Linked DNA regions of Drosophila melanogaster. The protein of the gene in region 1 purifies or fractionates together with the protein of each later gene. This does not show direct contact. Each region holds a gene or a part of one and is shown on either strand. Other genes may lie near its edges. The genes, in order: shf, dally, boi and ihog.

Region 1 (5,860 bases):
ACCAATATTCGAATCCGAATCCCTGTCTGCGAGTCCCAAAAACTTTTTCCCGGACTTTTGCCAGCACTAGAACACCAAACTAACTAACTAACTTACTTACCACCAGAGACAACCAATCAAGAAATCAGCAATTTTCGCTTTTGTTTTGAGATCTCTTTTTTACACAAGAACACAACGAATTTTGAAAGCAAGCTACGTGAACGTAGAGGCCAACCGACAAACTATATTCGACGATATATGTAGCGATATCTCGGACTATAAATCGATGCAATCCACGAGCAGAACACCAAGCGAACCCTAGCACAAAGCGCGTTATATGCAATTCTCTCTCCAAACAACCAATATTAAATACCCGTGTGTGTGTATGTGTGTTAGAAGTTATTCAAATTGAAATTGAACTCAAAATCAAAATCAGAGATTTCAGAGTGCACGAAACAGAAAACAGAAGGCGGTATCTATCGATCAAATCAATCAATCAATGAAATCAATCAAAAATTCATTTTGCGACTCAATTAATTGAAGAAACTTTTAAAGTTACAAAACAAAACAAAATACAAAAAATACAAAAAAAAAAAAAAAAACAAAAAAGGCGAGGAACCTGTGGAAGAGATTAACTAAATTCAATTTGCTTTTAAATGTACGACTAACATTAAAAATATTTATGGGCATGTAATAATAGTTCTAAATAACGCTTTGACTTCTCCTTTCAATTCTGTGAGGAATAAATTTATTGATATTGCGTGTAAAAATATTAATCATGAGAAGAAATCTGAAAGCAGAGTTAAAACTGAATGAAATCGACCTCAAGTTGTTTTTACTAAGCAATACTCTGTCTCGTCTGAGAATAATGTCTTCTTATTTAGAAATGGGAAACAGAAAAAAAGGCTGCTTACTTGAAGAATTTAATTCCCGATCACCATAGCCATTTTAATAAACAAAAAGAAAAGTCAATTTTTTTTTTTAATTTGTGTTGAGTGAATTCGATCTTCTTTTTGCTGCTGCTTCCGCTGCCGCTGGCGCATCAATTGTGTTTACTAAGCTAACGAACCTAGGGACAACAATTTATTCTTGTTTTTTTTTTTCACCTATTTTTAAATTAAATATTTTGTATATGTAGAGAAAATTTTCAATTGTAAATGTATTTGTATTTAAATGTTATGTGTGTATTCATAAGAATGAAAATAGCTACCACAATCAATGTATTTTTCCTTTATCTGCAAAACGCATTTTTATTGGGGAAAAGGAACATGGGCTACGTTGCTTTCCAGAAGTCATTGAAATAAAAACAATTGTCGAAATAGGATTTTTCCTTATTGTACGGCCAATAAACACATATGACTATTTAAATTCGAAATAAAAATGTTCGCATTTTCGATAAGGGTGTAAGTCATCGAAATTTTCGATAAAATTACCGTTTCCATGTTTAAATATAGTTAAATGGGAAATTTAATTTTGAGTTTAGTGGGGCATGGCATTCTAATATTGTTCAACTCTCTTTGTTGCTATCCAAAAGAAAACTGATTATATTTTTCAAAAAATTTCAAAAATTTAATAATTTTGAATGGGCTTTTTCAATAACTTAGCCGAAAAGAGTGGCACTGTTTTGTACGACTTGTAAACAGACACATTCGCATTTATAACAGAGCGTAATGACAATTATTTAATTTTGTATATATAGGATTTATATCGCCAAAAATCTGGGTATGAACTTTGGCCAAAAATCGATCATTTGTAGCGGACGATGTTTTGGGAAAAAAATCAAATTAATTATTTAACCCATTTTTTTAAACAATTAACAATCTGCCTTTGATACAAAGAAGCAGTTACTAAATTTAAATTGTTTAATGCTTTTAAGAGCGAGGTTGCGGCTTGAAGCGGTTTGAGAGAATTGTTTGAAGGTTCGAGAGAGGCAACCGCAGTAGTGATGCCAATTTGGCTATTTTTTTTTCTGTGCAATACAAAGCGCCATTAGATTTTATGTCCTCACCAAATACCAATACTCAGAAGCACTTTTGTATAAATAAACTATGGCCAACTGGTTTGTAGAGTTCAACGAATGCATTGGAAGGTACGTACTTTCTATCAACAATTTTCCAAAATAATCATAATTTATTGTACAGTTCTATACGCGCCTAATTTTATGACAGTCATTTCATTAATACTTAATATTCGATGGGAATTTAAGGGGAATTTGGCAATTAAGCGTCATGTGTTCTTCCTTTCTTTTTAGCAGAGCGATCCGATCGAGGGAGCGGGCATCACTGCGCTGCGATCGAAACGTTCGCCGGTTTTCGTTGGTTTGTTCAGATGAGCTCAGGAGCTGCAGTGCGACGGTCGCGCCACGAAACTTTGCGGGATTTTTCAAGTGTCGAAACCGACTCTTTTCGCGTTTGTGTTCAAGCCCCAAAGGAGCTTTCGAGCCAACGAAATACGTGCAAAGTTTAAGGCTCATGTAAATCGGAACATAAAGGACCAACAAATCAAGCTTTACTTGTTTTTTACACCCTTGTATTTTGTCAACGAAACGACTGTTTGTTTTTTTTTGTTTCAAGCCGGCGACAGCCAACGAGTACGTAAAGTGTGCAAATTTGAAATTGAAAACTAACCTGTGATCCTAAGTTTATGTGATTGTTGTGAAAATATTGCTAGACATGCAGAGTTTTAATCTCGCACTAGCGCAATTTTGTGATAAGAACTAACTAAACCGCTGAAGTGCGAAAGCACTTGCATATTTTTTACCCATATCAATGGGTATCTCACCTGGCCATTCAAATCACCTTGCTCGATTGATCGAAAGATCGAGAGTTGATGTCCAGATTGTAGGCTTAAGTGCAATTGAAAACGGGCAGAATTTTGCATGTGAGAAGTGCACAGATATAAAACCAAAACAGATAAGCTAAATTAGCGAATATAACTTTTTCGCAGGCAGATTCTTGATCTTAACTTTCCCCTAACGGAATGATAGTTTGGGCCATTTCGAAACTAAACTGATAGTGCCAAGATTATTCGAAAATTTGTCGTAAAACTAATACCCAAGTGCCAAAGCTACCGAGGTATGTAGGGTATCTGGGATGCCCGCTGGTCGGCTGTACTTGACATGTTCGTTTTGGCGCGCTCGAAAGGCGTGAAAGTCATTGTCCAACGTTGGCCATTTGATTGCCAGCTCCTTGGAGCTGTATGCTGGATGCGGCGATCTGCGAACTGGTAATGAAGTGGACTGCAGTGGAGTGGAGTGGAGTGGAATGCCTGACTCTCCAGCATGCATACATATAGACACACGATCGCCTCATCGGAATCGGAATTCTGTGGCTCTCAAGTAGCTTCTGCTTCTGACTTTGCTGCTTCTTCTGCTTGTCCTGATGCCCATGCTGCCGGTTGTCCGGCAGCCTGCGTGTCTCGCTGCGCTGCCCCCTCTCCAGCTCCGCGTCCACCAACCTGAACTTCAACTCCAACTCCAACCTCCACCTCCTGCGGCACTTGAGTCCACTTGGAGACAGGCGTTTTTATCCGCCTGTTGTCTGGCTCCCCTCCTTCTACTTCTACCCCTCCTCCTCCCACTCCCTTTTGCCACTCAATTGGTGATCGTTATCATCAGTAGGAGTAGCAACCAGGATTAATGGGCTGCGCCAGTCTAGAGCATCACGAATAGGCCAACACCCTCTAGGTCAGGTGTCACAGCTATGACCTACACGGAGAAAATAATAATCTTAGAAATTAGGCATAATAACCTTGAGCTGATGCACTAAAATCCAGCAGATACTTTTGTATCTTATATATACTTTTGTATCTTATAGATACTTTTGTATCTTATAGATACTTTAATATCTTGTAGATACATTTGTTCCTACAGATACTTTTACTTTTTCTTAAAGTAAAACACACATGAATGCTCAAGAAACAATATGCTTCCAATTGGCCAATGTCCAAACACTTGATGGGTATTTAGCAAGTCGACTGTGGCCGTCCTGTCTGCATTATTTGCCCAAGGTGTTTTTGTTGGTGTTTCACACAGTCGCTTGGTGTTACTTTGTGTGTGCCAGTGTGAGTGTGTCGCTGTTGTTTCATTAAGCAAACAGAGCTGCAAGTGCCACTTGTTGCTGTTGTTGTTGTTGTTGTTGTTACTGGACATCATTTAAATCGGTAGCCGGGAAAGTATGTAACTCTCCTCACTCGCTCATCCTTGCTCATCTGGCTTGCTCTTTCATTCGAAATCCTTTTAGCCGATGACTTTGTCTTTTTGAGTCAACAAATTGCTTGTACTCTCTATACTACACAGGGAGAAACATATGATATGTTTGGATATTTTCAAAGCACTTGATCCTGATATCTGATCTGAGCAAATTCGTATGTACTTATATATCTGTAAAATAAGCCTAAGATATCCAAAAAATATTGTGTAATATCTCGGTTTCGACACATTTGTTTTGGATAACTACTGCATGGGTAATTTGGAATCGATAGGGTTTCTTTTCTCGGTGTATGTCATTTTTTACGTTGGGATTGTTTATGAACAACTTGCCTCTCGCTTGCACCTGCAGTACACCATTAATGGCTGGCTGTGAGTGTGCGATTTCCAGTGCCTCTCCTCCGCCCCCACTTCCTTTTCCAGTCTCAGTTCCATCCCATCCCATCCGATCCCACTCCACTCCGACTCCAGTCCACTCCAGTCCAGTCGAGTCCACTCCGCCACTCCAAGGGGCAGCTTCTTGTTCTCGTTGTGTTGCCTTTTGTCGTACCTTGTGTGTGTGTTTGGGTTCTTTAATTTTTTATTTTCACGTCTCATCGTCGAGTATTTGTTGTTGCCCCTGTGGATGCTGCTTCTTTATTTTCTTGGTAATAAGGTGTGAGAAAGGCAATAATCGTAAAGAGCTAACAAATTGTTGTTGTTGCGCTGCTGCCGTTCCTACTTTGATTGCTACTGCCACTCCACCTCCTCCATCTCCTCATCTCTCTTCTTTCACGCTAAAATGTTAATCTGTCCCTTTTCCTCCAGCTGAAGCAATTATATCGTTGACGACAGCACTAACAATGCATGGCCATCTTCATCTTCATTCCATCGACCTGATACGGTGTTTGATAACCACTTCCCTGCACTGCACCTGATCCTCTCACAACCAAACGAAGGGAAAGTAACAGACACGCGAATTCTTCAGTCCAACAGTAGTTGAGTGCTTGCTAACTGCTCAGTGTAATGGTGAAAAGGGGTTAAGTTAATGCTTATATAGATATATATGTTTATATATATACACTTTACACCTTTATGAATATCTCCCTATTAATTGCACGCTGACTAAGCTTTCCTCAGCCTGCGCTGCGAATGCGCCTTAGCTGGAAATTCCAATTCTGATTCGGACTTAGATTGACCATGAGTGGGATTATCTATGCGCCGGTGCCGGCTATCGCCATCATGTGCTTCCTTATCGGCCGACCGACCATTAATTAGCACGAAATAAAAATAATTTCAAAACAAAGCGTGAACATCGTATTTATAGGAAATCGAGGTCTGGCCCGGTCCCGATCCCGAGATCCCCACACGATCCCGATTTCGAATCCAATTTCAATTCCAATCTGTGATGGCCATATGACGTTCCCGTTTATGTTCTACATACATATATTTATATTGCGTTGTAATATGCCAGCTCCATGAATTACTTCCGCCTACGATTTCTTAACCACTGATTCAATTACTATCTGGATATACACATCGGATATATTCATGCATGCACGCTGGGCATCCACAAGAGCAATTAGTTCACTTAACGAATTCATTTCCCAGGGGCCGTTTTGCAGATAAGTTTGGAGTTGGATTTCGGTCTTGCTGCCCGATGATCCCAGAGCACAATCTTCGAGAGTCCGAGCC
Region 2 (5,525 bases), on another chromosome or scaffold:
ATGGAACTTCAACTTTTAATTGGCAGTGCCGAGCGATAGTGAGCTGTGCTGCTCTTCCTCTAACCACTAATGATTTGGGTATGGGATTGGGGCATATGCGCAGTTCTCTAGTTAATTAAAATTTTTACTCGAGGATGAGCTCCTTTGATGGCAAAAGCATAAGCGTAGGCCCACGCACCCAAACTGCAGGTATGCATACCTACGTACATGTCAGGGAAATGGAATCCGTTTGAAAAGTTGTCTGCTAAGCAGTTTTCCCCGCTCCAAACGAGTCACGTTTGCCTTTGCCTTCTCTATTTGCACTTTTCACTTATCTAGCCAGGCGGCACACAAACACTTGCCGGCGGAGGAGATACGCGGATACATGGGCTCATATCTCATGGCTTGCTCTAATTTCTGTTGCGAGTTGCTTAAATATTTAGTAACACGGTCGGGGGCATTGGAACTGCTATGCCTTAAGCATAGATACAGATACTACAGATACTTGCAGGTAAACAGATACAGATACTGTGCGATACGATTAGATACTGCAGCTACGACTTCCTGTGCGTCTTTGTAACGCGCCAATGTTAATGTTCATTTTAATAGGCACGGAGTAATACTGTTTTTTTTTTTTGGCCCAAAAGCAAAGCCAACTCAATTAGCAGTCGAGTGGTGTGCGCAATTAAATTAAAATTTAGTTTTATGCCGAGCGCCTCTACCGGGAACTGCACGGCAAAAGCAAATCGGGAGAAACATATCGTATGCATGGCACCGACGAGAGATTAGCATCACAAACAGCACATAAACGTAAAAGTAACACACTCCAGAGCAAACAGAAAGAGATATAGATGGAGATACGGATACGTACTGTACGGATACAGATACATTAACAGATATACATAGATACATTGGCGGGGCATAAATTCTACGGAGGCGGAGGCAGGCGCAAGTGGAACTATGTAAACAGTAAATAAATGTCGAAAACAAGGTTCGGCATACTTAAGCAGGAGCAACGACCAGAGATACAGAGATACATACATAGGTGCTGATCGGAGATACGCCGCCTGGCATTAGCCAAATTGAAATTCCTCAAAGCCAGCGCTAATAACTTCCAGCTACCAGTTCAATTGGGCATTCTGGCATTCAGGTGGATAAGTCTCTGGGACACACAAACATGCACTTGTAACGCCAACTCTCGGTTGGCTATTCGGTTCTTCACACTTTGATGCCATGGCAATGCGGTCTGCTCAGCAATGTATCTCATAGATAGTTCTTCTTGGCGTTAACTACCTGCGTGTGGGAACGACTGAACAGAATGAGCAAAGAGAACCGAGAACCTCTGCAGACAGGTAAGCATTGGAGGGAAAAGTTGCAACATCATCGCCAGATACATTTGTATTCCAGTCGAGTTTGCGGCTGTGTATCATGTAATTGTGCGTAAACGCGTAAATACCAAGTCAAGGTCGGCTAATCAATAATAATTATTTTTCACTCAATTACACGAAACAGATATATATTGGGTACATTCGCTCGTTTTCGACTGATATTATCGGATTGTATTGCATTATTTGGTTATTCGGTCTTATTTTTGACTTCGGGTATGAAATATGCATAAACAAAAATATGTCGAGTATCTTGTGGATATCGGCTGTGGTAAATATAAATATACCTTCCATAGCCTTCACACAGTTTGGCCTCAGATGCGTGCCACTTGATATGGCAGTGTCGAGAAATCAGAATAACAAATGATGCCGCCGCCTGTGTATCTATGTATCTCTGCATCTGCGAGGTGCCAGATCCGATATGTAATGAACCTGGCGCGGCCAAAAACTTTATCCACGGCACGTCGAAAACTTTTCCGAGGCGTTGCTCAATGCGCAATCTTCTAATTGCAAACGGCGCCCGGCTGTTCGAGTGGTCATAGTTCGCCTCGAGTGGCTGCCCGCTCGAGGGTTTCACTCAGTTCAATGAATTTGCATATGCTTCTAGTTTCTGGCGGGGATTGAGAAGCGGATGGGGTCTAGAACGGACTAGAAATAAGAGAAACTGCAGCTGCGGGATGGCAAAAACTTTGGCTGACGCGCGATTTACTTGGTTGAAGTATGGAAGACTGATGGCGAGGCGAGGGTTAAGACAAACTCTGAAATCAAGGCAATGAATTTCCCGCAAAAGAAATGTTTTTAAACGGAGAGGATGCAAAAGTAATTAAATTGAAAAACCATTATCAATAATCCCAATTTATGTACCTCTTTCTTATTTAATGGAGTAGATAACTTAGACTTTAAGTATTCGAACCACTCTAGTGACCTGGGGAAATAACATACGTTTTCCTCTGCATAGTTTAAAGTTAGTACGTTTGCTCCTAAGGGGCCTTAACCATATTGGTAGCTTTAACTTCCTCCATCGTTCCCCGCTTCTTCCCCAGCCCGCATGTCCAAGTGCATACTCGATATTATAACTCTACGGATGGATGGCGTGAACTTTACCTTTTTCGCTGTAAGTCCCACTCGACTTGATGTCGATCGATTCGAAGTAGCTCTTGACGGCATCACACTGGTGGGTCGATCCCCCAACGGCGTCCTTCGCCCGCGAGTCCCGCTGTAGGCGACGTCTGTGGTGCGTGGTGGCGCTGTGCAGGTGGTGCTGGTGGTGGTGGATACCATCCAGGTCCAGGTGCTTGGCGGCTGACAGGCCGACGAAGCCGCAGAGCAGGGTAAATAGCAAAAGCTGCGCTAGCCGCACGCTCCTGGCCGCCATTTTTGATGGGTGATTTCTGTGTGCAGACACAGTGGATGATGGGGCTAAATTTGATTTGCCTTTGAATGCTTCTCTTATTTTTATTTTAGCCGGTTATTTTATTTACTCTATTTTGCAGCACTTCTTCGTATTTACTTCTGCATGCTGTCTGGGTGAACAGCTGTTCGCGGCAACAAACACACACACTCACACAAATGCACTTGCCGGCTAACACGCACACACACACACTGGCACACACGGCCACAAACACGAGCGCACAAAACAAAAGGCCCCAAAAACACGCGTGAGCAATAAACGTGGTAGTAAACGTGGGATGGCGATAGTGGGTGGTGGTGGGTGGTGGTCGAAGAGAGAGCGCGTGTCTAGCACTTTTTGCTTTTCTACTTTCTAGTTTTGAAAGGTCGCTAAATTTCTCACAAGTATTTTCTTAACTTATTCAGAGACTTTCCATGACATAACAACGAATAGTACTCAATTCCTTAGCAATTGATTTGCCAGCGATTAGATTTGTTTTTTTTTTCTTCTTTTTAATTTTCTCCTACGTTTTGTGTACTTAGGTCGGCGAAAATAGATTTAATTGCAAAGCTCCTTGGCCACCGGCGTTCTCAGGTCGAGGAAATGCACTCGCCTTCTTTTCTAGCGTTTTTCCGCTCGAATTTCGCACCGATATTTTCAGTTTTTCCGCGCGCGCAACGAACCTTCCACGACGAGAAACCCGAACAGATTGACTTTGCCATCGAAATCAAACATCCGCCCTGAGTGCTACAACTTTAACGATGCGAACACGAACCACACTCGGCACTCGACAATCGGCGCTAAGAGAACCATCCGAACGCTCTCTTTCGAACAAAAGAGAACGGCGAGCACAGATGTTGGCACAGTGGTGCAATGAATAGAGGTGTTTATGCGAACTCAATTTAATTCACAGGTTAACGCCGAGAATACATGAGTAATACAAGGGCGCAATCTGAAATGAATTAATTAATTTGAGTCTTTAGAGTTTTGGAAAACGAGCTTCGAACTAAACCACAAACTTTGTAATGCTTATTAGATATTATAAAGTATTTTAATTAAGGAATGCCCAACCACAATTTATAAGATGTTGTATTTATTAACAGCATGTAGTATGAGTAAAAGGGGAAATTAAAGTTAGTAACGCAAGCTTAGCTTTCGTAAGATATCTATTCTCTTCGATGATTGCCAAACGATTTCGACAGCCAATGAATCTACGTAGTTCCATAAAATTTGATATGACACATATCCTGTTTTCGTTTTATATATTTCAATAGTGATTCGCATTTATTTATGGGTTCCGGCATTCTTCAGGACCAACTTCGAGTTTTCCCTGGCCGTGTCATCTGCCACAGGAGCTGGCTTGATTCTGATTATTTTTCTCTGTGTCCGATGGGCCTAAATATTTATTCAAATTCTCGAAATGCTCTTCTAAAAGCTTTCAACGTTGGCTCGCTGCAATTTGCATATTCAACGTAAATCAATCCATCTCACAGTGGTCTTCTCGGGTGCTCCGGTGGCTTTTAATCCGGGCTTTTATCGATGCCGCTGGTTGAAATTTGCATGCTCGGTTCTAATTGATGTCTGAATGAGTTCTAATTTTATTTCATAGGCTATGTTTTACGATCGGCTTGATGAACCCGTGGAGCAGGCTCAGATTTCACGCCTTTGAAGAGTCTCAGATGCTTGGCAGCTATTTCCCTAGGGCTAAATGTTTCTGTTCAAATTGATAGCCGTGTCATGACCTCGCACAGCACGTGTGGTGGTATCGTTTGTTTTTTTTTCTTCATTTCTTTTCTTTTGTTAATTTTTTCCCTTTGCAATTTGCGAAAACGAAGCGATTGTCTTGAGGCTGCAGCGGTGTGGCAGACAATGCACGACCCGAACACACCAGCCTCTTCTCCCCGGACTTTCACTCGTCACCCCGCGGGCACCGACCTCGATCTTAAATACCTAGGCGTCTCGGGGCGTCTGTGTATCTATTTCTTCATTAACAAGATACTATATAGCCAGGGCAGCGGGAACTTCATGGTGGTCAGTTGCGGGCGTCCAGCTGGGCGCAAACGCCCTCCCACCCCCCATGGATGTTTTCCGTTCCCGGTGATATGTTCATCACGAAATGGAATCCTATTCAAATTAGTGTGCGATAAAGAAAGACCTCCCAAAAAATAAGAAAAAAAAAAGGAGAAGACTCAAGACCCCGGGGCAAACAGCGAAAAGTGAGTCATGCGAAGCGGAAACAGTTCTCCAATGAAACGAATCCACATCAGAAACAACCGTGATGATGATGATGATGATGATGGTGATGGGATGGCGAAACGGCAACAAAAAACAAAAACGAGCTGGAAAAGGTGAGGTCGAAAATTAAACACCACCACATCGTTTAGATAAAGTTATAAATTATAATGTACACTACGGAACGATCGATGAGAGCGAAGGTCCCAAAGAAACCGAAACCGAAACCAAAACCAAAACCCTTTTACTTCTCGCTCTCTCGCCTTATTTTCCGTTTTTTTTTCCTCCTTATTTTTGTATCGCACAGGTAAACCGTAGGCATATATATTATATAGGTGTGTGGGTAAAGGTAGGACTGGAATTAAACGAATTTAGTCAAACGGCATCTATAAATTATGGTGCTTCTTTTTGGCGATCGGGAAAATATGAACGCTTTTAGCTCGGCTCGTTGGCTTGTTGGCCCAACTCGAATTTCGTTTAAACGCTTGATTTAGTGCAGCAAAATATGGCCAAATGTTGGGCTATCTATGCAGTTGTAT
Region 3 (5,547 bases), 4.3 Mb from region 1:
ATCGTTTAAAGCCCATAAAGGGCTCTTTACTCTTAAAAATAAAATCAAAATCAACCTATGATGTTTTAAATTTAAATCTGTGTAGACATGTGTCTGCAGTACAATATTTAAAACCGTTTGAGTATCTCTTAGGTTTTGAAAGTCTTTAGTCATTCCAAATATAGGTATAACAAGTGTCATAGCAGCATATCCTAATCCATTTACAATATAGTCAAATACATTTGAAGGTGTTACCATTGAAATTATCGTGCCATATCATTGAAGAATATCATGTTATATTATACAAAGTATATTAGAACGGCAGCCGGATAAAGTAAAATAGATAATCGACTATATTAAGCTATCATAAAGGACATTAAATACATAAGAGTTTTTTTTTCCTAGTTAAATAGTTAGCACCAAATCAGACATATGCGGAGTTCACACATATGGTATTGTTACAGATCCTATCTAGTATTAGCCAATTCTTACTGGATTGTACTCCTTTCGAAGCCAAGCTCAGGTCACACAACTCTAAAGCTATATATTTGATCATACCCGAACACCAGTTATCTATAGGTAGAAAACTCTTGCATAGATAGGTAGTTCAACGTAACCATATCCTATAGGAAAAACCCTTAAAACAGATATCTGTGCAATCTATCCTGAGATACGGTAGCTTTAGCTCAATGTAGTCGAAATGTACTCTGCTTTGTGACCATATCTATGAATACTATTATTATTGTTACCAGCAAGGAATACCTATAAACCATATGAAACAATTATAAAATTATATATAATTTTACCAGATCTCAAAAAGCTGACTACGTTATTATTTGATACAGCTGTGTATTATCCAAGCTTATTAGCTAGATGTTCTTATAAAGATGGGTAGTTCTGAGATGCATAGTTTCCCAATTATTTAAAATAATATAATATATGTCAATAAAATAATAATATGGCATGTAAGAAGTTATAAATTCAAATTTACATTGACATTGAGTGTACGAAGAAAACCATAGTTCTTCTTCGCGTTGAGGCAAAGTCTGAAAATGCAGTTTGGCGAGGCTTTTATCAAATTTTATCAAATATAAGTAATGTATTTATTAAAGTTAGACCGCACACATTTGATTTTATAATAATTTTTTATAATAATTTTTTAATTACAAGTTTTTATTTTTTTAATTTATTTACAATTTCTCTCGTTTCTTCATTTTATTTAATTAGTAACGACGATCCACTGGGAGGAACCGAACCGCCAGTCGTCTGAGGACACAACCAACAGCCGAAACTAGCTTTTTAATTAAACATTAACAAATGAAACAAAACGAACAACAATTTTTATATATACAACATATGCATAAGCCCAAGAAAATCCACAAAAATTGAATATTATATCACTTACACATAATATAAAAAAAACAAAAACAAAAGAGAAACGATCACTTCAACTACAATTGCTTCTTCGATCCTTAAGTCTAAGTTAAAGATTGTAGCAAGGAAAAATGCGAAAATATCACAAACATTTATTTAACAAAAACGCCATGCAAGAAGTGAAACGAAACAGATACAATAATGCAACTAATGCAAAATAATACAGAAAATACAGTTAAAGCCTAGAACCCTAAGAACTTACTAACTAACTCGAGCAACAACAACGCATACTAGCCAACTGCAACCACAAAATCCACAATAGTGAAGGCATTTTAATCATAATTTTAGTCTCTAGCTTATACCTATGACTACGACTCTTTTTTTGCCAGCCCAGTGTAAAAAGTTGGAGATCGAAAATTGGCCCTACACACATACAAGACCACGTTATTGATTAAAAACCAATTGATAATACACCTACATACATATAATGATAAATGAATTACTAAGAATGCAACTATTGTGAACGAGCGAAAACCGTTGAGTGGATAAAAGCGAATGCAGAAGATATATTAAAATGAAATCAACAACAGTCTGGAATGTGTTTAATTGTGGGAGGAGTTCTTCATTCATAAATCATCATTTCCATAGATCATCTTCATCTCTATTAACGATTAAGATTAAGGATTAAGGATTCAGAATAAAGGTATTTATTATACTCATTATAAAACTTAAAAGGTATGCTCACAACAATCATTAGTTCCGACTTCCGTTATAATTCATTTGTAATATCAAAATACAGTGGCCTCCTCCCGATCAAGCAAATTCAAAATTGTAAGAGAAGAGAAGAATTCAATTACATTACAACAAAAGAGAAGAAAGAAGACAACTTCAAAATGTTCTCTTTTGGTTTCTCTCTTGGTTCTCTGCTCTTTCTCATCAAGATTTTCGAAGCGCGCCCAAAAGTATGCACGAATTGATATAAGTACTACATTACGTTACTTGGCTCACTTCGCTTCGCGCCGCCGAGCAAGAAAGACGTGTGTGCGGAGTCTGCGCGAAACTATAACAGAGTTATATTTGAATATATATCTCAAAATAAAATCGTCGTGCTAATAACGGTTATTTGTTTACCTTTTTTTTGGCTGTTCTAAATCCCTGTGAGTGCTGGTTCGGCTGCCCTTGAGGTGCATTCAAATTAGGAAGTGCAAAGAAAGAGAGAGCGAGAGAGAGAACGAGCGAGAGCGAGAAAAGTGCGTGTGCCAAGTTTGTTTTTATTTTTATAACGGCAGCCGGCTAAAAAGGCAGCGGCGTCGCGTAGGAAACACCTAATAACTATAAATTATGCCCTGGCGGAACATCAATACTTGGCGAATGTCCGTCGAGAAGTGATCTCCATATCCCCAGAAATTCGATTTAAGCCGATGCCAATCGCCCTGTTCTCGAGTGTGTGCATGTGTGTGTGTGTTCGAAAGGCTTTGAAAATGCCATAACATTTTAATGGGTTTCTGTTATTTGGACTGCCTTTTCTCTCGGCTCTCATTGTTCTTTTACTGCTTGTTTCTTATGTGATGGGAAAATCGCAAGAATGCTGCGACCAGTGATCAAAATCTAATCAAAATATTTACCGTTCGTTTAGAGTGCGACAAGCGGCGCAGATTGGAATTGGATTTGGATAGAGGATTTAGCTGCCCTTCGAGGTTTCAGTCAACAGGTGAGTTTTGCAACGGTAAATGGCCAATGGCCAGTGGCCAGTGTCTCGAAAGTAGTTCATCTGGTCAGTGCAGTCCGTAAATGTCGGTAAATCAGAGAAACCCCCTTCCCCGGAATTACCACTGCCATATCGATCGATTCCAGTTGACAAGTTTTTCGCGATGGTCATGTGGCCATGTCCTTTTTTGGCCAACAGGCGATGGCCAATGGCCAATTGCCAATTGCCGTTACTCTTATGTGTCAGCGGGCCCCCAACAAAATCACAAAATAACAACAAGTGTTGCACATCAAATCCAGCGCGTACATAAACCAGAAAAGTGCACAACCAAACCTGTCATCCGAGGTGGCAGGGGTCCCAAGACCATCCTTCATTCCCCTTTTTGCTCGTTGATAACATTAATGAACTGTCTATGTGCCGTGCACCAGAATAGAACCCCAAGTTGGGAATGGGATGGGGGATCGGGAGAGGTTGCACAACTACAGTGGGCCCTCCGTAATGTGGAGATCCTTAGACCAATATGTGAAACAATTATTATAATTCTTTGCAGAACTTAACTTTTCTCAAGAGTTTTTTTTTGTTTTTTTTTTGTTGTTGTATGCGCGGAACATAACCACCAGTTTCTACAGTCTCCACAGTCCGTCGTTTGCCAAGTCCACCTGTAGCTTAAGCACGCACATTTCTGTTGCCATTGGCAAGAGGTGAGCGAGCGGAATGCAACAGGCAGCTGGTCGCAGAACAAGATCATCTGGGAGAAGAGAGATAGAGATACATAGATGCATTCAGGGAACCGGACACTTGGCCAAAACCAAAACTAAAACCAATACCAATGCCAAACCTGAAACCGGAGAGCATTCCCATTTTCCAGCCCGTTCCCGCTAACAATAAATCAAAGGGCCGGGGGAAAAGCCCAACAATAAAAATCAAGCCAAGTGTCGTCGTCTCATTCTGCAGGCCAAAAAAGGGATGGAAGGCCAAAGGGGAATGGGAATCGGAATGGTCAGAGAGCCTTTGTCTCGTTGTTGATGGGATTTCATTATTACTTTCGATTGTGGCCCATTGAGACACAGTTCCTTAGCTCCGTCTTGTTCGTCGTCGAAAATGCAGACAAACAAAAAGGTCTCTCGGTCCAAACAAAAATAAACACACCGAGCAGCATCATCACCATCATCGCCGTCATCGTCATCGTTCTCATTCCCATTCCCATTCCCAGTCGCAGTCCCAATCCCAATCTTGTACCATCCACGTCGTCATCTTCCTGGTCTCCTTTGCTGCAACTCTAATCGCATAAGCAGATAGACCAGGTGAACTGTGGACGAGGGGAGCAAAGCGACAGGGCCACACTGAAAGAAGGTAGAAAATAAATAAAGCGATAAATGGAAAATAAATTTCAAAAAATTGCTTTTCAAGTGGCCCAGCAAACGAAACCCCCGCCCCGAAACCCAGGGCCCTATTCGATGTGGGGTCCACTCCAGCAGACTAGAGTCAGTCTGGCTAGCTACCGATCTGAAACATGGCTCTAGCCAGGTCCTTTTCACTGTTGAATCATTCGGGCTGCAATGAATCAATGGGAAATGGCTTAGCATAAAACGGGATAATTGGATGGGACAGTAAAGGGTCTCGATCTTGCAAGCATCTTAATTGCATCAATCGTACAGCCCACCCAGGCATGCGATTTAGAGTTAGAGGAGTGAATTCATTCCGCAAATGAAGAGCTTAACTCATAGCTGTACGCATTTCCAATTGATCTCGGCCACTATTTCCCATTCTGTGCGCTCGAATTTCATGGCCAAAACGTCCGCGATCGATTCTCACACCCCATTAGCACTGATCCACTGATCCAGTTTCCATCCAGCCCACATTCATAGTCATAGTCATAATGAGGAAAACAGAATGCTCCGAGTGCATTTGCCACAAAATTAGACATTGACACCTATTCCCCTTGGGATTTCGATTTCGAATTGGGTTCCGTAAAAACGGCGCATAAAAATTATTTCACGCCACACCAAAATGGGCCCCCAAGAAATTATGATTAATGCTGAAAACATAAATTGGATTTGATTTCTGTTTGTTTGCCGCTTTCTTGCAGCTTTGCCTCGCTTTTACTCGCTCTTTTTTCGGCGTTTTTGTGTCTTTGGGATTTGTTTTTGTTGGTCTTGGACTTCATGGATAACTTCCCCTTCGCCCTCTCTTCATCATTTTGTGTTGTATTTTTTTTTTTTTTTTTTTTTTTGCTAGGTAGCCGCCGCCTGTTCATTAGCACAGACTAATCATTGGAGCACAAGAGGCTGCCGTGGGGCAGGAGAAAAAAAGATCGAGAAAGGTGGCAATCAACGTGAATGAATGAATGGCTGAACTCTCGTCTCGACTTTGAATCTTGTGAATGAGCCTGAGACGCGGAGACGGCATGAATGGGAGGTATTCGTTCGGTCGGTTCGGGCGAGGGGTTATGTTTCTCCATGCCTTTTTGTGATCTTCGCTCTCCA
Region 4 (6,346 bases), on another chromosome or scaffold:
TAAACAATAAAATTTGACCAAAGCGTCCGATTGATACAAGTGATGGAACCACAACCCACAATACAGTGCAAAAACAATCGAAAGACGCAATCGGAAACAAGGGATGCAATTAAGAAATAAGAGTGGCTTAAACTTAAAAGAAATAAAATACAGCTAAAATATTTAAATTAATTATTGTGGAATTTTCGTTAATTAATTAATAAATTAATTAAATAATTAATTCTTTTTTTTCATGTCCATAATTATATTCAGCCCTGGTATTCAGTGCATCCATATATCGATAACAACTGCTAGCCGAAAAGCAAGAAGAAGAACCAAAACAATATTTAGTTAACGAAGCATAAACAACTTAAAATCGTTGAATTATGACTGACTTTGGCGGAGACTCGGGTGGCCGACTAAAGGGCGTAACTATAGTAAAGCCCATAGTGTATGGAAACATTGCCAGATCCTTCGGCAAGAAGCGCGAGGAGGACGGACACACGCATCAGTGGAAAGTCTATTTGAAGCCCTATTTCAACGAGGACATGTCCATTTACGTGAAAAAGGTGCATTTCAAGCTGCACGAGAGCTACGCTAATCCGAACAGGATCGTAGTTAAGCCGCCCTACGAGATTACCGAGACCGGATGGGGTGAATTCGAGGTGATCATCAAGATATACTTCAACGATCAATCAGAGCGCCCGGTTACCTGCTACCACATCCTTAAGCTCTTCCAATCGCCTGTGGTCGATGGCGAGCTCTCCTCTAGCACCACTATGGACACTAAGAAGGGCCTGGTCTCGGAGTCGTATGAGGAAATAGTGTTCCAGGAGCCCACCCAGATCTTGCAGCATTATCTCCTGCTTTCAGAACAGAGCGCCAATGGGTTGCTAACCCATGACACTGACTGTAACTATGAGCTGATTACCATTTTGAATGTTTACTCATTAGATATATACTTTTCTAGTTGAGGAAAAGAAGACGAAAACGTTGGACAACATTGTGAATGTAAAACAGAAGGTCAAGGGGGAGATTGTTACACTTAAGGACAAACTAAAGCTGGCACGTGAGACCATTTCGAAGTTCAAGGCAGAATTGGCGAAGGTGCAGAAGCAACCTGCGTAAAATGTGCATAATTCTCTATAGAAATAATCTAAAAATTATTAATTAAATAAAATATTGGAAAATGTATTTTATTATTTTAACGGTGATATCCAATTCTTGGCTTCGGGTAACTAATTCAAATCTAACAAAACGGTTTAGGACATAATTTTATAGTATTGCAAATTATATCGATGGCTATTGATGTGGATCAGTGCAGTCTCTATAAACAGCTGAATTCATAATTCTATATAAATGTACAAAGAAACTACACTTCAAATTCATTGACTATGGTGCCATTGACTATATAACGTCGTAAATCTTACATGATTTGGTGTTTATTATTTTCTAAAAATATATGTAGCTTTTGTATAATATAAATTAATATTAATATTACTAAATATTTTTTTACTTAATTAAAATCAATTTAATAACGAGTGCTTTTGAGTAAGTTTCAATATGAACTGAATAAATGAATTTGATCTGATACCAGATAGATTCAGTCCACTGTACCGCGATGAACCGATGAATTCGGAATCACCGGTTCGCCGGTGAACGATGCAATGCATCTGAACCAGCGTCGCGGTTCGTTCTCCAGTTCCAGTTCCAGCATCCCCATGGAATAATAAATGCCATTGTTTATTTGACTTGTTGAGTGCATGTGCTTGTCCGGTGGCTTCGGGGCCCGATCGAAGCCCGAATTAAAGATACAATGATTTTATGGAGCTGCGTCGTTAACGTGTAATGTGCATAAATAATTTAGGCCCACGATTCCACGCACGCACACAGACACACATATGTATATAAGCCATAAGTGATGCGCGATAGCCGAGAGTGAAAATTATTAACTGCGCAAACGCAAACGCGTTTCCCCACCTAGAATCAGTCTAAAATCCCATAATAAGGTGAGTAATGCCATTAACTCTTAATCCTTTGAGTTCAAATATTCAATGATATTTTCGTGAAATTTTCAGTGCCCCCTCCAATGACGCTGCTCACATCCTCGCTGCTGCTCTTTTCGCTGCTGACGTCGCGGCTCGAAGCAATTCCGGTTTTGGAGAAGTCCCCCGCCCATCCTGCCCACTCTGCACATCCCGCACATCCCGCACATCCCGCACATCCCGCGCATCCATCGCCTGGCGTGCGAATTCTTCGCGCACCCGAATCTTTGGTGGCGCCCCTGGGAGACGAGGTGGTGCTGGAGTGCGAGACCAGTTTGCAGCCAGAGCGCTTCGAATGGAGCCACCGGTCCAGCAGATCTCCGGGAGCGGGGTTCAAGTACCTTAAGACAGGCACGGCCAAAGCGAATGTCTCCCAGGAGGCGGCCATCTCGCGACTGAGGGTGCTCGTCCGACCAGACACTCTAGGCGAGTACCGATGCGTTGGCTGGTTCGGTCCGCTGGTGGTCACGTCTACCATTGCTCGATTGGAGCTGGCCAGCACTAGCCTGGTGGACGCTCAGGAATCGGAATCACCCCTCCAATGGCGGGTGTCTGCTGGAAACTCTGTGCTCTGGTCCTGCGGACAACAGGTGCAATCGAATCCATCTGCCAGTTGGTCCTACTATCGAAACGGAGTGGAAATCAAACCGGAGTTCATCGGAACCAATGGAAATCTTTTTCTAAGCAATGTATCCTCCGAGTCGTCAGGCAGCTATTCCTGCCAGGCAACCAATCCTGCCTCTGGCGAGAGAATTCAGCTGCCCGGCTCGCTGCAACTACAGGTTACACCAGAGCAGAGGTCGGAGAGTAAATCTCCACACTTGCTCAGGGGACAGCCGAGCTCCCAAGAAATTACCATACGCGAAGGGAGTTCGCTGTTGCTGCTGTGTCCTGGAGTTGGCTCACCGCCACCGACGGTTGTCTGGAGCAGTCCCGATGTCGTGGGAGCTGTTAAGAACAAGCGTTCGAAAGTATTTGGACACGCTTTGGAGATATCCAACACCCGAGTTAATGATGCTGGCACCTATATTTGCTTTCAAGATAATGGAGTGCGGCCTGCGTTAGAACACTACATAAAAGTGCATGTCGAGCAGCCGCCTCAGATTGTGCGACCACCCTGGGCCGATCTTACCAACGAGGGCGATCGTTTGAAGTTGGAGTGTAAGGCCACAGGAGTGCCAACGCCAGAGATCTACTGGCTGCTGAACGGTCACAGCAGCATCGATGATTCTGAGGCTGAGCTCTCCAATAATTTCCTGATATTGCACAGCGTCTTGAAGCGTCATGCGGGCTATGTCCAATGCTTTGCACGAAACAGACTTGGTGAGCACAGTGCGGGTACACTGCTGCAGGTGAATCCCAAGCAGATTCAGGAACCCCGGGAATCGGGGGGTACACACAGGCCCAAGCCCAATCAGGGTTCCAGGCAGAAGCAGATGTATCCACCGACTCCTCCAAATGTAACCCGACTTAGCGATGAATCCGTAATGTTGCGCTGGATGGTGCCCCGAAACGATGGGTTACCAATTGTCATTTTTAAGGTTCAGTACCGCATGGTTGGCAAGCGCAAGAACTGGCAGACAACCAACGATAATATACCGTATGGAAAACCGAAGTGGAACTCCGAGCTGGGCAAGAGCTTCACGGCTTCGGTGACGGACCTGAAGCCTCAGCACACCTATCGTTTCCGCATCCTAGCCGTTTACTCCAACAATGACAATAAGGAAAGTAATACCTCGGCGAAATTTTACCTGCAGCCAGGTGCAGCACTTGATCCGATGCCGGTGCCAGAGCTTCTGGAGATCGAGGAATACTCTGAAACCGCTGTGGTGCTGCACTGGAGTCTAGCCAGCGATGCGGATGAACACCTGATCACTGGCTACTACGCCTACTATCGACCCTCGTCCTCGGCAGGGGAATATTTCAAGGCAACCATTGAAGGAGCCCATGCTAGAAGCTTTAAAATAGCACCCCTCGAGACGGCCACCATGTACGAGTTCAAGTTGCAGTCCTTCAGTGCCGCCTCTGCATCCGAATTTAGTGCCCTTAAGCAGGGGCGCACCCAACGTCCCAAAACCAGCACCACAGAGGAGCCAACACTGCAAATGGGCGACCGCGATACAACAACTCCCAGTCATAACGAGACATTCAATATGAGTCCCATGCTGACGGGAACAATCGGCGGCGGGGCAGTGCTCATTCTGCTTCTGATTAGCACCTGTTTCTGTGTTTGCCGGCGTAGGAATTCCAGAAGCCGGGGAAACAATCCAAACAAGCCACGGATGGCGGAGCTGAGAGATGACTTTGTGCCGCTGGGCAACTGCTCGCCCACCAAGCAGCGCCAGCGAACACGACACATCCACATAACCTTGAATCCACTCGCCCAGCAGCAGCAGCAGGCGCTGGAGGAGAAGAATGACACAGACCAGGATGCGCCCTATTATCAGCGGCCGTCGAGCTATGACTACGATCCCACGCTGCGCAGGATGTCCTCCTCCTCGCTGCGTCGCTCACAACGCACGCTGGAACGTGCTGGCGGCAGCAATGGCTCCAACAACGGCAACAACAACAATCTAAATCAATCCGCAGAGGCGGGTTCCATCGAAAATCCCGGCAAGCCGGGTCGTGTACTCATGAAACGCCCCCGTCTGTCCAGTCGCTCCGAGAACCTCTCCTCCGGCAGCCTCAACAGCGTTGGCGTGTAATCGCAATCTCGTGATCTTTAGTCTGTGCATCCCTACGCCCGATGTACCATGCTATTCCTCTACCTCTGTTTTATCTACCACTTTGAATGACAAAACCTTTGCTGTTTGTACTTAAATAGGTACTTAAATAGACATAACTAGATTTATGTATGCATGATCGTTTAAGAACATAGCATTATGTCCATTCTACGCTAAGTCTTCCATTTTTCGCGATAAGATCAAAATCTGTACTGATAGCTTCTTAATGACCTATACAAAAATGACAATAAAGCTTGTAGCTTCACCTTTTAACCTTAAAAGAGTTTTTTAACATAAACATAAAGGATTTAGCCAAAAAAATGACATCTCAAGCTAAAAGTTAAAAAACAAAATTATAATTTAAATCTTTGGTATATTTGCGGTATATCAAGTGTTGAAACAGTATTTTTTCGCATTCAATGAGTGGCGTTAGGGATTTGTGCAACATCCGATGGCGTTTGGGATTTAATAAGCTGTCAGCCAATAATTGGGTCGTCGTCAAAATTTCTATTAAAATCGTTTCTATTCCTACATATTTTGGCCGGAAAATCAAATGAAGCTGTTACGCTAGGGACGAAGCTGCACCTTACCCGCACCGAACGTAAGACACTGCTCGTAGGCCCCAGAAAGTGCACAAATTTAAGCGGTTCCCTTTGTTTTCGCAGTGCCAGCAGCAGAGGGCCTGGCCCCCGAAAACAATACAAATCCAAAAATCGCAACTGGACTGAATTGGGCAGGATGTCGAACCTATCCGTGGGCCAGATTATAATGGATGCGCAGCGCATGGCCAGTCGGGTGAAGGACCTGGACGCCCTGGGCACGGCGCTGCTCGAGGAGGCGGAGAACAACAATCGGCTGGTGGAGAGCCTTCGCCAGTATCAGGACGACATTGAATCACTCAACCGCATTTCGAACAACAAGACCAACGCGGACATGGTGAATCGCATTCAGCAGCAAAACATCAACAGCTCGGAGATACTCAAAGAGAATCGCGAGCTAAAGATCTTCATTGAGGACTACGAGCGTGCCATGGAGCTGATGATGCAAAAGTATCGCGAGCACACCGTCTCCAAGGTCCTGGATAGCAAGTTTAGCTTTAAGGAGCTGTACAACGAACGCATGTGGCAGGTGATCCGGGAGCAGCGCGAGAAGATCAACGAAATGGCAGCAGTGATGCAGCTAGCTGCAAGTGTAGATGACGGTGTCGTGCAGCGAGAGCTGCAGACCATATCCCAGCTGCGTCTGGAGAACGAAACGCTGCGCGAGCTGCTGCAAATCTCCAAGCAGTACGGCTCCTCGCAGCGACCGATTCGTGAGAGCGACCACCTGCTGGAGGAGAAGGCTGTGCAAACGGACAGTACGGCGGACGACTCCGCCGACGATCTGTCCATATCGGGCGCCTCGGTGGAAAACATGAACAACAACTCGGTTATCCAGATGTACAGCAGTCCGGAGCAACCGGCTAAAGTCGCCGGCACCACGAACTCATTTAACACTGCACCAGTGCATAGTCAAAGTGAAACACAAGCACCAAGTGTGACATTGGAGACGGCGCCGCCGGGGGAAGAGCCGCTGGCGAATGATAACAATAACGGACCT

What was found.
Region 2: the proteins of shf (region 1) and dally purify together in Drosophila melanogaster (affinity purification with western blotting, with the first as the bait; one study listed by BioGRID). This does not show direct contact.
Region 3: the proteins of shf (region 1) and boi purify together in Drosophila melanogaster (affinity purification with western blotting, with the first as the bait; one study listed by BioGRID). This does not show direct contact.
Region 4: the proteins of shf (region 1) and ihog purify together in Drosophila melanogaster (affinity purification with western blotting, with the first as the bait; one study listed by BioGRID). This does not show direct contact.

Annotation. Positions count from the first base shown.
Region 1 is NC_004354.4:6,776,120-6,781,979, reverse strand, and holds the start of shf (shifted), read left to right. Parts: upstream 1-2,320; 5' UTR 2,321-2,569; intron 2,570-5,860. UniProt on the Drosophila melanogaster protein: Required for normal accumulation and movement of lipid-modified hedgehog (hh) morphogen. May act by stabilizing the interaction between heparan sulfate proteoglycans (HSPGs) and hh, HSPGs being required for diffusion of hh morphogen.
Region 2 is NT_037436.4:8,825,447-8,830,971, reverse strand, and holds the start of dally (division abnormally delayed), read right to left. Parts: upstream 3,468-5,525; 5' UTR 2,740-3,467; coding exon 2,469-2,739; intron 1-2,468. UniProt on the Drosophila melanogaster protein: Cell surface proteoglycan that bears heparan sulfate. Functions as a coreceptor for growth factors and morphogens, such as the products of dpp, to regulate signaling and distribution of these ligands.
Region 3 is NC_004354.4:2,466,854-2,472,400, reverse strand, and holds the start of boi (brother of ihog), read left to right. Parts: upstream 1-2,357; 5' UTR 2,358-2,510; exon of another isoform or gene 2,511-2,796; intron 2,797-2,989; 5' UTR 2,990-3,064; intron 3,065-5,547. Other genes in the region: trol (terribly reduced optic lobes), read left to right, coding at 1,207-1,249.
Region 4 is NT_033779.5:6,944,136-6,950,481, reverse strand, and holds ihog (interference hedgehog), read left to right. Parts: upstream 1-1,673; 5' UTR 1,674-1,988; intron 1,989-2,057; 5' UTR 2,058-2,068; coding exon 2,069-4,729; 3' UTR 4,730-5,018; downstream 5,019-6,346. Other genes in the region: Gas41, read left to right, coding at 366-891, 950-1,107; Fgop2 (fibroblast growth factor receptor 1 oncogene partner 2), read left to right, coding at 5,486-6,346. UniProt on the Drosophila melanogaster protein: Mediates response to the active Hedgehog (Hh) protein signal in embryos, functioning upstream or at the level of patched (ptc).